Linked DNA regions of Caenorhabditis elegans. The protein of the gene in region 2 purifies or fractionates together with the protein of the main gene of each other region. This does not show direct contact. Each region holds a gene or a part of one and is shown on either strand. Other genes may lie near its edges.

Region 1 (4,323 bases), on a different chromosome or scaffold from region 2:
AGAAAGAGCATGGAGCGGAGGGAATCCAAATGAACAATTTGTGGATGCATTCAGCATTCAGATCTGTAAAAAAGATCTTGCAACATTGAGTGGATTGCATTGGCTGAATGATGAGATCATCAATTTCTATCTTCAATTGATTTGTGATCGGAGCAATGGCGATTCGAAATATCCAAAGATCTATGCATTCAACACATTCTTTTATTCCAATATTGTTTCAAAAGGATACGCGAGTGTGAAACGATGGACAAGAAAAGTCGATATCTTTGCATTCGACATCGTTTTGGTGCCAGTTCATCTTGGAATGCATTGGTGTATGGCTGTTATCGATATGGGCGAAAAGAAGATTGAGTTTTATGACTCTCTTTATGATGGAAATACAGCCGTTTTGCCAGCATTGCGGTTAGTTTTTTGAGTGTTTTTGGTTTTTATTTAAAAAACTCACAGAGAATATATCAATAAATATTTTATATTTCAGAGGTTACTTGGAAGCTGAATCATTGGATAAGAAAAAGACAGCAATGAACTTTTCTGGATGGACAATTCAACAGATGACGGTATATTGAATTTTAAAAAAATTAAATAAAAAAAAGGATTTTTACTTTAAATTTATTTCTGAAAAAAAGTTTTTTTTTAGAAGTCCAGATGTTTGGCTCAATCACTCTTTTTTTGATATCTATGCTCTCTAAAACAACCAGTAATACTTCTGAAATTACACACACAAAAAGATCTTCAACACGCGATAATCATCTTGTTTAGGACATTCCTCGTCAACAAAATGGCAGTGACTGTGGAGTATTCTCATGCCAATTCGGTGAATGGGCATCTCGACGAACGACGCCTCGCTTCACGCAGAAAAATATGCCATACTACAGAAAGCGAATGGTTTACGAGATTGTTTCGAAGAAGTTACTCGCAACTATTTGATTCTAGAAGATTAAAAGTGTCATAATTCATAGTTTTGTTTCCGGAAAAGTAGCTGTAAAATGTATTTTCTTCTCATTGGGCATAATTAAAACTTATATTTTGTCGGTGTCGTAAGCCCGAATCATCTAGAAAGTCTTTAATTTTCTGTATTTCGAATTAACCATATTTCCCATTTTCGTAGCATTTCTTCATTATCCAAAATATCGTTGTGATTCTCATCACTAATTATAACTTTTGATTTCATTTCATACCGTGTAAAGAATGTTCATACAAAAGATTAAAGATGATCGACGGTGTCAGATCACATCACATTATCACTTGTCACGTGGTCATTCTCAGATGACGTTGTTTTGTTTCAAAAGGTGATGCAAACTTTCCCATCCCGTTTTTAAGATTTTTTTGTCTCTGTGGATCTCTGGCCTTTTTTCTCTTTTCTCTTTTTCATTCTTCCTTTTATCCGAGTTTTATTTGATTTTTGACGTATTTATTAACAATTTTCTCTCCCTTCCACCTTTCAATTCCCAGTTCAATAATATCAATCAGCTTTCTCTGTTATATCAATATATTTCACTCCCGATCCCCGTCACCATTGCAAGTTGCAATAAATACAATTTCTTCACTTTTTTTTCGTTGAAATTTATTTTTTTTTCTTCTTGGTTTTATTTTCAACCTCATGGTTATATATTTTGAAGTTTATACAGATTCAATGTTTTATTTTCTAAACAGAGGAAATTTAAATCCTCCTTTATTGTGCTCATCGTGATCACAAAGTCACAAAAAATTTAACTTCCCAAAACCAAAAGAAATTGTCGTTTTGTTTTCCTCCTCACGACTCAAAAGTTAAATTTTTTGTTTTTTGGTCCGAAAAACCAACAAAACCAGCTATTTAGCAAACAAGAAAAAATGATCGTGATCTAAATTTTCTGGAAATTTTCAAAACCATTTCTTCCAATTTTTGTTATTTCAGAAAATAAAATAGATAGAAATATGCATGAAAGCGGTGAACCTACAACTGCAACGGGTGATGCTTCAGCCAATCATTTTAAAGATGGAATTATCGATTTATTGGCTGGAACAGCTGGTGGAATTGCCAACGTGTATGCTGGACAACCATTAGATACAGTTAAAGTAAAAGTACAAACATTCCCGAATCTCTATTCAAATTGGATTGTTTGTCTCAAGGATACTTATAAATTGGACGGAATTCGAGGACTTTACGCTGGTTTGTTATTTTTGTTTCGAAAATTTTGAGCTTAGTCTGGATTTCTGAATCTAAAAAAAGAAAAACAATCCTTTGTACTGAACACGTTCCATGCAACTATAAAAAAGAGTACTTCTTGAAGTAAAAATTCTCACCCTTTCTGGGAAGAACAATATAACGTGTTTTCAAAAAAAACCTTTTTTTGCAAAAGTTTCAGATTCTTTTTAAATAAAATACAATTTCTAAAAAGCTTCCAGAAAGCTCAGCAATTTTTTTGAACGTTTTATTTCAAATAACGTAGTTTTGATTTGGAAGTCGAGATGAAATCGAAAAAATCTTGAAAAATTAAATGTAACTTGATTTCTAAAATTCATATTTTTCAACATCCAGGAACTCTCCCAGCTCTAGCTGCAAATGTTGCTGAAAATGCAGTTCTCTTCACTGCCTATGGTTACTGCCAAAAAACAATTGCCACACTGAATGGACTCGAAGATGTCAGACAAATGACACCATTGGAAAATGCATTCTCCGGATCTCTTGCCGCAGTTTTTGCAGCTACCGTACTCTGTCCAACAGAACTTGTCAAATGTAAACTTCAAGCAGCTCGTGAAATGAAGAAGAAGTGTACACCATTCTCTGTTTGTCGGGATATCATGAAGGATACTGGTGTCCGTGGATTCTTTGTTGGAATGACTCCGACTCTTGCAAGAGAGGTTCCTGGTTATTTCTTCTTCTTTGGAGCCTACGAAACATGCCGTTTCTTATTGACTGATGAAGGACAGAAAAAGGAAGAAATTGGACTTGTGAAGACAGCAATGGCTGGATCAGTTGGTGGTATGGCATTATGGACATCCATTTATCCAGCAGATGTCGTTAAATCGAGAATGCAAGTCACCGGAGGAGGAACTTTTATGTCTACTTTGGGCGCTGTCGTTAAAGAGAATGGTAAGTCATTATTGAGGGATAATTAATTCAATTTCTTATAAAAATTCAATTTTACAGGAATTCGTGGACTCTACAAAGGACTTCTACCAACCAATCTAAGAACTTGCTTCGCTTCTGGATGTCTTTTCGTCGCTTATGAAGAGACACGAAAGTTCTTCCACTACGTCCTCTAGATTATATTAATCTCTGCCTAGTAAATTTTTCAATTTTTCCTCATTTTTTCTTTCCATCACACAAATATCATCATGCTATGAGAGCTTTCTTCGTTGTTTCTCTTAATGTTTTTTTTCGGTTTCTAACGGTTACTCTGAGATTGCCATAGGCTCACTTACGCCCGGTTGTTGTTTTCTAAATTTTTTAATAAAAATTGTTTTTTTTTGTTATATTTAACCTTCAAAAATCCTAAATGTAATGAACATTTGTTCATAGTCACTTATTTATCTGCTTCTAACACTGGCCAATGCTTCTAATGATCTACAACTTTCTAAAGTCAAAAATCTTCCAGTTCATGTTCTCTAGTTGCTGGTTAAAAAGCAGCGTCCGATACTCGCGGTTAATAAGACAATTTTCATCGGAAAATTCATTTTTCAAGGTGAGAACAGATATCAAATTAGGTAGTGAGATTGAGGTCTCATCACGAATAGCTGGGCAAATCCTGTTTCTTTTTACACTCGCGCATGATCTCGTTGTCCATGCGGAAGTGAATCTTGTCGTCAGTATATCGGACTGAAGACACAATCGGCTAAATTGTTTTTCCTTTTTCTGTGAGAATTTATTATTTTCTGAAAGTTAAAAAATTTTAATACCTTTTTTAGAAGCTTAAAACAAAAATTTCAAACTTTGATGTAAATATCATTAATAAAAATGGTGTGAAATTGTTATTGTTGATCCGCAATTTAGCGGAAACGGTGTGCATGTACAAACAAATTCAAACATGATGAAATCTGACAGCCTTGCATTTCATTTTCTTTGTGTTGAATTTCGCAATGTTTTTTTCCTGAAAACTTCGCTAGATTTCGCTGGTTCTCCAGTAATTATATGAAAAGGGTTTGAAAGTTTTAATGCTTTTTGAAAATTTTAATGCTAATACCATTATGCTTAATTTGCTTTTTTAAATGAAAACTTTCACGTCCCTCTTGGATTTGTCTCTCTGCCGTCTACAATCTCTTTCTCGTGTTGATAGGGCGCGCTTGCATTTTTACAATTTTTCTTAATTTATTTCTGAAAAAAAAACTAAATACTTTCTTTCT
Region 2 (6,154 bases):
AAAGTTAGAAAAATTTAGGATAGGATTAAATATCAACCTTTTAGACTGACAGCAAGTTTCTCAGAAAAATACCATTTCCATCGGATGTGCCGGGACTTTTATCTTTACCAAACATGGAACGACAAATTGAAAATCAGCTATCTACAAAACAAAGAAAAGATTTTGAACTATTTTTGAAGCACGTGGTTTTTGATATTCGTCCTTTATATATGCTGTCTGGTCCGGCTTCTGGCGAACACAGAGTGGTTTACTATGCACGGCTTACTCCAGAGTGCATTGGTGTGTTTAAAAAAAACGTAACTTTTAATTAAAAACATAGCTGACTGAAAAAAATTCAAAAAGGCAGAAATTCTGAGAAAAGTAATACCGCTTATTTTGATGGTTATTGTTGACAAATTTGTATACCATAAAGTTCAAAGGAAACGTTTTTCTGGAAAAGTTGTAAATTTGTTACGTATTTCTAACTTCATTCACTTCTCCTACTGATTCATAGAGCTGAACCGAACGTCCAGTTTCCGAATTCTGGGAAATTTGGTGTCTAGCTTTGAGATGTTACAGAAGGTTTTAATACCTTTTTTTGACAGTGTCTATGATTTTTGTCTTGTCGCAATACACTATCTCTGTTTTCAAAATTCCAAAAATCTGGAACGTGAAATGAATACTCGAGAAATGACACTGGGAAAAACGGTGCGTTCGATTTGCCCGCCCAATTGCATTTACCTGTTGAAAATGTGCATTTACAACTTAAATCAACAGTTTAGTAATGTTATATGAGGCTGAAGTCCCAAATCTATAAATAGGTATTAAAGTAATGCAAGATTACATTTTCCTGACCGTTACACCAATTATTTGACTACTTATTCAAATTTTTAAATCAAAAAAAATCAGAAAACTATGCCCATAAAATTTTCAATTCAGACATTATCCGAGAAGATGGAGGAATGGTAGCGGTTGTAGCTTTATCTGATTTTATGGTTCTGCAGTCAGTGCAAAATGCAATCAACAAAGCTGGACTTAGAATGAGCACTGGAGCATCGTTACATCACAAAATCCACTTCCATCAGGAGAGGGTTGAAGTATGTATTGAAAAAAAATGTAGCACTTGCTAAACTGATAAAGTTGATACAAATCTAGATATACACAATCCATAGTTTTTTTCAAGTCATATCTATTTCTTAAAAGTTGCACAACACACTGTATAATATTTTTTCAGGCTATCCAATGGTTTCTGGTGGAAACCAGAACTGAAATTGCAACAGGAAACAAAGCAAAAATATTCGGGGAAGTATTCGACAGCAACAAGGAATGTGTCATGTCATTTATTCAGGAAGCATATGTCGTTCCAAAAGAAGTCGAACCAGAAAACTCAAAACTGTAATTTTTGTGATTAACATGAATATTAACTCTGAATAAATGAAATGTGTGATTTCATATAAAGTGTTTGATGATAACTGATAACAACTTATACTCTAATCATTTTCATTGAAGAGCCGCTAGTTTCAGATATTTTTCCTTTTTCAAACGTGGACATTTCTGACCGTTCTATGAGTCTTCTTTTCCTGTCGTATTCCCCTCGTGGTGTGTACCCTTGCAATGGAAAAGGACGCTGCCTCTTTCCTCTTTCTCTCTTCGTGAAATGCGCCAAAGGGACTGCTGGCGCGTTTCGTGTCTACGAGCGGTTCATTTGGTGTGCAACACTCATTTTAAATTGCAATTCCGCACGTTTATCTTTGTTTATCGAGTGTGTACTTGTTTTTTTGCGGTAATCTTGGGTTATTTTACATTTTTCTTTACAATTTCGGTGAATTTAAATAAGAATTTTTTGGCATGTATATCACGTTTATCGATTTTCAGGGAAAAATGCTCCGAGCCGCCAGCAACGGCCTCCGTAACACGGTCGCCGCCCGTTCTGTTTCGCTTTCCGCTGCAAACCACAGGTAAGATCAGGAAGATGTCGAGTTTGGAAATTTAGTACATACTTTGAACATATAAATCAAAGAAAGTCAATAATGAACTTGAAAAAGGCCAAAATTTCAAGTGTAAATTCAAAAAAAAAGGAAAATTTTTTAGAAATTCTCGAAAATTCACTGTTGATATTTCAGTGATGCCAAGCGATCCGATATTGCTCAATACAAGGTCGTCGATCATGCTTACGACGCAGTTGTTGTTGGAGCCGGAGGAGCTGGTCTCCGTGCCGCTATGGGACTTGCCGAAGGAGGACTTAAGACCGCTGTTATCACCAAACTTTTTCCAACCAGATCTCACACAGTCGCAGCTCAAGGAGGTTAGCAGTTTTCCCTCAATAATATCTCGACATTTTTTTTCAGGAATCAATGCTGCTCTAGGAAACATGAACCCAGATAACTGGCGCTGGCATTTCTACGACACTGTGAAAGGATCCGATTGGCTCGGAGATCAGGATGCCATTCACTACATGACTCGTGAAGCCGAGAGAGCTGTCATTGAGCTTGAGAATTACGGAATGCCATTCTCTCGTACCACCGATGGAAAAATTTACCAGCGTGCTTTCGGAGGACAATCCAACGATTTTGGACGTGGAGGACAGGCTCACAGGTTTGAAAGTTTTATGAAATACTAACGAGTAAAGTTTTAAATTTGTGCTATCGAAGTTATTTATCGGAAATTTAATTAACAAAAATGAAACTTTATGAGGCGCAAGTCATGTTTAAGATGGAGTAATTTCTAGTTATATTCATACAACTTAATCAGAATATTTTAATTGTAATGCCTCCCCGTCTCCGTTAAAAACAACTTCCCTATCCAAATATATCTAAAACAAAATCAATTTCAGAACTTGCTGTGTTGCTGATCGTACTGGTCATTCTCTTCTCCACACCCTCTACGGAGCTTCCCTCCAATACAACTGCAACTACTTTGTTGAGTACTTTGCCCTAGATCTCATCATGGAGAACGGAGTCTGTGTCGGAGTCATCGCCATGGATCTTGAAGATGGAACTATTCATCGTTTCCGCTCAAAGAACACTGTTCTCGCTACTGGTGGATACGGAAGAGCCTTCTTCTCTTGCACATCTGCTCACACTTGCACTGGAGACGGTATGTAAATTTCAACGTTTGAACAACACATTTACAATAATTTACAGGAACTGCTTTGACTGCTCGTGCTGGAATCAACAACTCTGACATGGAGTTTGTTCAATTCCACCCAACTGGAATCTATGGAGCTGGATGCTTGATCACTGAGGGATCTCGTGGAGAAGGAGGATATTTGGTGAACTCCGCTGGAGAACGGTTCATGGAACGTTATGCACCAAACGCCAAGGATCTCGCCTCCCGTGACGTCGTGTCTCGTTCGATGACTGTTGAAATTATGGAGGGACGTGGAGTTGGACCAGACAAGGATCACATTTACCTCCAACTGCACCATCTTCCAGCAGAGCAACTTCAACAAAGATTGCCAGGAATTTCTGAGACAGCCATGATCTTCGCCGGAGTTGACGTCACCAAGGAACCAATCCCAGTTATTCCAACCGTTCACTACAATATGGGAGGAGTACCAACCAACTATAAGGGACAAGTTCTCAACTACACACCCAAAAAGGGAGATGAAGTCGTTCCAGGACTTTATGCTGCAGGAGAATGCGGAGCTCACTCTGTCCACGGAGCTAACAGACTTGGAGCCAACTCCCTTTTGGATTTGGTCATCTTCGGAAGAGCATGCGCTATTGAGTAAGAGCTTATTCTATAGAGTATGATTATTTTAATCGGAGATAGCGCTAAACGAAAAAATCTGCGTATTTGTACCTGGTTGGCATCACCAACAAGACAATTAAAAAAACGAAAACCACCGTTTTATGGACAATTTTATACTATTATTTTTCAGCATCCTCAAGAACACCTCTGCCGGAGTTGGAGTTCCAGAACTTCCAAAGAACGCCGGAGAGGCCTCCGTTGCCAACATTGACAAACTCCGTCACAACAAGGGAGACATCTCAACTGCCGAGCTTCGTCTCACCATGCAAAAGTCAATGCAAAACCACGCCGCCGTATTCCGTCGTGGAGATATCTTGAAGGAGGGAGTCAAGGTCTTATCCAAGTTGTACAAGGACCAAGCTCATCTCAACGTTGCTGACAAGGGACTCGTCTGGAACTCGGATCTCATTGAGACCCTCGAGCTCCAGAACTTGCTCATTAACGCTACCCAAACCATCGTTGCCGCTGAGAACAGAGAGGTATGGTTTGAATACACATTTAGGTACTTGTATAGCATACCTGGCCCAAAAATATGAATAGTTGTGTTTCACGTGATCCTTTTCGCCCATTTCAGGCTTAGTTTCTAACAGTAAGCTTAAAAATGTAAGTAAAGTTCACGTTTTAATTAAATTATCATTTCAAAAAGAAATGAATGGAAAACGTATTGGGAAACAAATTTCTGACATCAAAATTTCAGGAATCCCGTGGAGCCCACGCTCGTGACGACTTCCCTGACAGACTCGACGAGCTCGACTACAGCAAGCCATTGGAGGGACAGACCAAGAAGGAGTTGAAGGACCACTGGCGCAAGCATTCGATCATCAGATCGAACATCGAAACAGGAGAGGTTTCACTTGACTATCGTCCAGTCATTGACACTACTCTCGACAAAAGCGAAACCGACTGGGTGCCACCAAAGGTCCGCTCCTATTAGGCACTCTCTCCGCCCCCCCCCCCCCCCCCACAATGAATTCCCTCCCAAGTTGTATAGTCCCCTAATTGCGAAAAACTTTGTTTTTTGTCTCTATTTTTCATCAACAGCCCATGCAACACTGTAACTGTCACCAGTTTGCCTTCGTTCCCCGTTTTATTAAGATTCGCGCGCCTCAACGTCCCTCCCATTCAATTCTCATTGTTTTTTCTTCATTCTTCCTTAAGTTTGTGTCACCGTTTTTGTTATCTATTTTTAAAAAAAGTGTATGCATTATTGGTAGATGTGTGTAATTTAGTAGCAAAATAGATTGCTGAACCTTTGAAATAAAGTATTTGAGACACCATCGTCATTTGAATAGGAACGTGCCGCAGAACAGTTAATAATATTAGGGCACAGTATAAAGTATTTTATGTTTTATTATTTTATATGTTTTATTTTATGTTTTAACAAGGCAAGTGTATTCTTTTTTTCGCAAAAAAAAATTGAAAACATTTATGGAGGAAACTCTGAAACAAATTTATACTCCAAATAGATGACCGTATTTCAATTACATATACGAATACATACTTTCCTGTAAAATGTATCTGTAACACGGTGATAACCACTGATTGATGCTTATAAAATGAAAAAGTCCGTTTTGATAAGCTCTGCATCGACGTCGGTCATCTAGTCAAATACTTCACCGGCCTTGAATTGCTCTTTACTCAATATTTTCTATTTTTTTTATTTAACTATAGCTACATTACTTTTTGGCTATTTCCTAGAAGTGTGTACTGTAAATAAACAATTGAGCATCAGGAGTCAATTAAGCAGCAGCAAGTACTGGCACATATTGCAAATAATTTTCAGCAAACCAGGAGATAACATCCACTTCCTTCTAGTAAGAAAAACAAATTTAATGATATTGTGTGAGTGACAAAAAACGTTTTTGATGAAAACCTTCATTATATCAAGACAGCAAAGTCCTTCTTTCACAAATTATTATAAAGCTTGTTGCAGCCACTAGTCTTGAATTCTTGAGTCTTCGCTGGTGTGGTTTTCAAGCAGCATCTGAAGTCAGGGTCGGTAGTGCAGGAACCATCGTAGACAGCAGCACAGTTATGAACACAGAGATTATAGCAAGTCTTGTTGGTATGAGTGGCAAAACTGATCCATGGAGAGCAGTATGCGTAGGATTCACCACCATTGACACCAGCACAGAATTCTTGACAGAGTTGCAAGGTGATGGAGCTGATGGCAGACACAAGGCAAAGTGCGACGAGGATGCGAAGGAACTGAAAGAGTATTTAATTATTGCATTCAAAGCAGAAAAAAACGTACCATGTTGAGGTATCAGTTGAATGCTGATGTTCTCCCAGCACTGCCAAAAGATTTTATAAATTTTGTTTCACAGTAGGAGTCAATTTTATTAAACTAGATGAAATCGTTCATGAACAGCACAGTAGGGAATCCAGACTCCAATTAAAATGTTCCAATATGTTGCGAGTT
Region 3 (4,791 bases), on a different chromosome or scaffold from region 2:
AGTTTGCAATCTATGACGTCATCATTACACGAACTTCAAATCGTTGTAGGGTTGGAGTAGTAGGATAGACGTAGAGAATTTTGTTTTGTTTATGTCAGTTGCGTAGGGATCCTATGACTGCAGTTAAATGGTTAACAGTTGTTTTCATTACAGAAAGAGTTCATCACTCGTCAAACAAGCCGTCATGGTCGCCCTCTTGCTGTCCAAAAACGTCGTGAACAGCAATTAGTTCAAAGTCTCCGAGGAACTCCAACCACATTGGCTCGTGTCCACGAGCTTTTCGATGATGAGAAGCATGCCGTTGTGGTCGTTGAAGGTTCGAGACGTGAATGGTACGTACCAATTCTCTCGATCGTCGACAAGGACTTGCTTCGTCTGAATGCCCTCGTCATGGTGAAGGCTGGTGGAATGTTCAAAACAGTTCCAAGTGCAATCGTTGGAGTTTTGGATGACAAGATTGACAGCAATGCGATGGGACATAAAGTTGAGAAGACACCAAAAGAGACATTCGATGACATTGGAGGATGTGAGAGTCAAATTCAAGAGCTGAAAGAGTCTGTGGAACTTCCTCTTACTCATCCAGAGTACTATGAAGAAATGGGAATCACTGCTCCGAAAGGAGTTATTCTTTACGGTGAACCTGGAACTGGAAAGACGCTTTTGGCGAAAGCAGTTGCAAACTCAACATCTGCAACATTCATCCGTGCAACTGGATCCGATCTTGTTCAGAAACAAAGTGGGGAAGGTGCTCGTCTTGTTCGTCAAATCTTCCAAATGGCAAAGGAACAGGCTCCATCGATTGTATTCATTGATGAAATTGATGCAGTTGGTACGAAAAGATTTGATACTTCTTCACGTGGAGAACAAGAAGTTCAACGAACTCTTCTTGAGCTCTTAAATCAATTGGACGGGTTTGAAAGCCGTGGAGATGTCAAAATTATCATGGCAACGAACAGAATCGACTCGCTGGATCCCGCTCTTATCCGTCCTGGACGAATTGATAGAAAGATTGAGTTACCAAAACCAGATGAGAAGACTAGACAAAAGATTTTCACGGTTAGTCAATTCAACATTTCTTAAATAATTTTTATTTTTAGATCCACACCTCTGGAATGACGATTCAGAAAGCTGTCACCTATGAGAATGTATTGGGAAAGGAGAAGAGCATTAGTGGAGCTGAAATCAAGGCGGTTTGCACGGAAGCTGGTATGCTGGCTCTTCGTGCTCAACGAAAATGTGTCGGAACGGATGACTTTGAGAAGGCTGTCAAATCGGTTATGCTGTCGAAGAAGGGCGGAGCACCAGAAGGATTCTTCTCTTGACAATCGGAAATTCAATAAAGTACAAACGAGTTTACCCTAATGAACCTTTCTTCTCTTACAATGCCAGTGCAGATGTTTTTATGAACATCTGTAGTTAATTTCTTTGGTCTTTCTATGACCATAGACTGTTTGTTTTCGTAGTTTCTTTCCCTTCCAGAGCCTCAATTTGAAGAATTATGTTAACTTGATCCGAGGCGTTTTGAATACCGATCTCGAGTATAAATATTTTATTGTTTCAATGTGTTACTGTTTAACACAAGATGAGATTTGTCGTATACACTCAAATAGATACAAAAATAAATATCCAAATTTGTTTAAAAAATTTCAAACTCATTGAGCTCGCCAAGTTTCTTGAAAAAATTGTTTACGTACAGTTTTAAAAATTATAAAATTATTAAATACCACCATAACCAAGAAACGTGATATTTTCTGAGATGGCCAAAACTATTAAAAATCGATTTTTTAAAAGTCAGTTCTAATTTTTGGAGTCAATATCGTCCCAATGGTAGCATCAAATAGAAGACAATCGAGGTTTGCAGAATCATTGTTTTCATCTAAAAAAAACTACATTTTTCAGTTCAGATTCAATACCTTCAAATCAAAAATCACACAGCTCTAACCATCACACTTCTAATAGGTGAGTATAACTACAATCCACAGAAGAAAATTAGTTTGTAACCCACATGCTCGACATTTCGCTCCGTGCGATTGAAAGCTGGGAAATCGCGAAAATCTGCGACGATCTACGATAGCATGCGAAGAAATGCGCGGAAAATTCGAAACTAGGGGTAACCCGCAAAGATGTGCGACAATGTGCGAGAAAAAGCTGAAGCAAAATGTCGAGTTTCTGTATTATCTACACCAGGAAAATATAAAGACGACAGAATAGCTGTCAAATCTTCTCAAACAATACCCACTGCTTCACCACTGTCAATCCAAACTGCAATAGTCTTTCAGCGATGGAATGCAAACTCACACGGATCGACTTATTAATAAATTTATAAAGAGGCAAATGGAAAAATCTTCACCAGAAACTCAACATCTTGTCAGAAAGCAATCTATTTTAAAATTTGTTGAACGAAAGTCTAGAGCGGAAAGACCGAAGCCAACGAAATTACGAACAATTTTGAGAAAGATTCGAAGTGAGGATTTGGTTTATATTCTGCTTAAAGTAATGTTTCAAATTTCAGAATTTAATACAATAATTGCATTTGTGGTTCTTGTTGCATATATAATTGGTGGAGCTCTCTTGTTTTGGCAGATTGAATCGAGATCTGATATGAATGTTTGTAAAGCTTTTGTTTCTGTTGCAGATATATATTCATTGATAATATTTTCAGATTAATGAGTTCAAAAGAAATATTCGTCAGAAATCAATACACATCTACAATTCAATGAAAGGTAGCAAGTGTGGAAAATTGAAAAAGGTTTGTGAAAGTATTTCTGCATCTCTTTCAATTGAGCATACCCGGAAAACGCCTCGATACAATTTTCATCTATTTCAGGCAGATAATGAGTTGAACAACAATTGTATAAAAGAAATTTTTGACCTACTCTACGCTTCAAACCCTCCAAAGCATATAGAAGAGTTTCTGGATGGGCTGGCTTATGTAATCACTTGTATTACGACAATAGGTATGACTCGGGATTAACAAGTAAAATAGTATCAAAACTGATTTCGAACATTTTGAAAAATATTTTTAAAATTTTCTCCCGAGGTGTCGTCTAATCATTCTATTTTCTATTTCAGGGTACGGCGAACTTGTCTGTCACACAATTGCCGGTAAATTGGTTACTGTAGCTTATGGTATTATAGGAATTGCTCTAACACTCTACGTACTTCGCAACAATGGAAAAATAACGTTGAAAATATGCAATTTGACACTCAAAATTTTTGCAATTTGCGTTCGAAAATGGTAATTTAACATTTAAACATAAATAACCTCTTCTCAACTTTCCATATAAAATCTTTATTTGAGTTCATTATTTAGTTTTCAGTGGCAAAAAGTCGGCAAAGTATAAGATGACAGTACTGAAAGCTTTTATTCTTCTTGTCACATTTTGGGGCTTCGGAGCACTTGCAATTGCTGTCTATGAGGAGTTTGTATTCTATGATGCCTTGTACTTTTCTTTCAGTACATTTTCAACTATTGGATTTGGAGATTTTGTTCCGTCAGGTCATATCTCTGGAACTATTATTTGTGTATTACACTTTATCGATTTATCACTGATTTCAATGGTTTTAGTTCTCGTTCATGTAAGCTGTGAAGATTCCCTTGTAAGAAACCAAGTGTCTAAAGTTTACAAATTTCAGCATTCGATGGAAAACAGATTTATGAGAGTTTTGGAGCTCTTCGATGAACGGCATGCTACCGACACTTTAGAAACAAATATGATATCACCTGGTGCTTCTCAACGGAAACTTGCTGCAACGACTACAGCGAAGGAATGATTTCGATCCAGTGATCATAATTGATATCAGATTATTCTCAAAATTTAAAATATCTCTTTGCTTATTACAATTTTTATTGATATTCTTTTTGTGGTTTAATTCTTATTCTTTTTCGTCATTAAGAGAATGAAGAAATTACAAAAAGCTTCTTTTTTTGCACAATGAAAGGAAAAAAAAACTGCCCATTTAGAGATTTAATCCGGTAAAGGCTTGACAGAGGCGCCTCACACCCGCCTTTTTATTTGACCTCCCAGCGCCGTACCTATAACCTCATGTGCAATTTCTCGTTACGGAGTTAATTTTAGTAGCGCATTCGTGAATAACCTATTTGGTAATTGAATTTTTAATCTCTCAAACAACGGTGTTTGTGGCTAGTTAAAAAAAATTTATTGTTCTTTTCTTTCTGAAAATTATTTTCCAGGAATACGTGCAGCTCACGCAAATACCGTCATTTGTGAAAACGCAATCATTAATTATCAAACAATTTATTTTCGATTATCATTTGTGAAAGTTTTCCCATGAAAACAATGAATCTCGTCTATTTGATACTTGTCTCGTTTCTACCCTCATCAGCCTTCGTCAGCTGCTCATTTACCAAGTCTGGAAAACAAATTCTTCAACAAATTTTTGAAGGCGATAAAGACAATCACACCAAGTTCAACAAGTTTCAAGAACTTTTCAAAAATTTCGAAGGCAATTTCAGCTTTTTTTTAAATGAAAATGTCACTTTACGATATGTTTTCAGATGATAGTTTTTGTATCAATTCGCTCGGAAATATTGGCAAATCTGCATTGAAATTTCTGTCTGAATGCTCATCTAACACGTGCCTCGAGCCAAACTGGGCTGTCCGTCTTATTGATTCACTTCCAACAAAACCACCAGGTCTTTCACGTAAAGGACCATTCTTCTTCATCGGAGATTTTGAAACATGTAAAGAACTATGGTCGGTAGAACATCGGCAAGTACATTATTGCACTTTGAAAGGAACGGTGAAACTTGGCAGCGAAACTCTTCCA

The links. Proteins that work in one complex are often made in the same cells at the same time.
Region 1: the proteins of sdha-1 (region 2) and T10F2.2 fractionate together in Caenorhabditis elegans (co-fractionation; one large-scale study listed by BioGRID). This does not show direct contact.
Region 3: the proteins of sdha-1 (region 2) and twk-37 fractionate together in Caenorhabditis elegans (co-fractionation; one large-scale study listed by BioGRID). This does not show direct contact.

The regions. Positions count from the first base shown.
Region 1 is NC_003281.10:5,162,883-5,167,205, reverse strand, and holds T10F2.2 (Mitochondrial ornithine transporter 1), read left to right. Parts: upstream 1-1,894; 5' UTR 1,895-1,914; coding exon 1,915-2,149; intron 2,150-2,518; coding exon 2,519-3,073; intron 3,074-3,130; coding exon 3,131-3,246; 3' UTR 3,247-3,447; downstream 3,448-4,323. Other genes in the region: ulp-1 (Sentrin-specific protease), read left to right, coding at 1-402, 479-557, 760-927; gars-1 (Glycine--tRNA ligase), read left to right, coding at 3,582-3,665.
Region 2 is NC_003284.9:8,541,722-8,547,875, reverse strand, and holds sdha-1 (Succinate dehydrogenase [ubiquinone] flavoprotein subunit, mitochondrial), read left to right. Parts: upstream 1-1,854; 5' UTR 1,855-1,860; coding exon 1,861-1,937; intron 1,938-2,102; coding exon 2,103-2,284; intron 2,285-2,327; coding exon 2,328-2,574; intron 2,575-2,812; coding exon 2,813-3,075; intron 3,076-3,122; coding exon 3,123-3,708; intron 3,709-3,862; coding exon 3,863-4,211; intron 4,212-4,429; coding exon 4,430-4,666; 3' UTR 4,667-5,119; downstream 5,120-6,154. Other genes in the region: D2021.4 (Acyl-CoA thioesterase-like C-terminal domain-containing protein), read left to right, coding at 1-3, 45-279, 919-1,076, 1,214-1,378; nspc-7 (Nematode Specific Peptide family, group C), read right to left, coding at 5,638-5,940, 5,987-5,989. UniProt on the Caenorhabditis elegans protein: Flavoprotein (FP) subunit of succinate dehydrogenase (SDH) that is involved in complex II of the mitochondrial electron transport chain and is responsible for transferring electrons from succinate to ubiquinone (coenzyme Q).
Region 3 is NC_003279.8:6,268,544-6,273,334, reverse strand, and holds twk-37 (Potassium channel domain-containing protein), read left to right. Parts: upstream 1-1,801; 5' UTR 1,802-1,824; coding exon 1,825-1,853; intron 1,854-1,899; coding exon 1,900-1,959; intron 1,960-2,279; coding exon 2,280-2,464; intron 2,465-2,512; coding exon 2,513-2,607; intron 2,608-2,662; coding exon 2,663-2,749; intron 2,750-2,827; coding exon 2,828-2,957; intron 2,958-3,072; coding exon 3,073-3,238; intron 3,239-3,320; coding exon 3,321-3,579; intron 3,580-3,636; coding exon 3,637-3,774; 3' UTR 3,775-3,915; downstream 3,916-4,791. Other genes in the region: C10G11.8 (AAA+ ATPase domain-containing protein), read left to right, coding at 154-1,056, 1,098-1,322; oac-9 (Nose resistant-to-fluoxetine protein N-terminal domain-containing protein), read left to right, coding at 4,302-4,467, 4,520-4,791.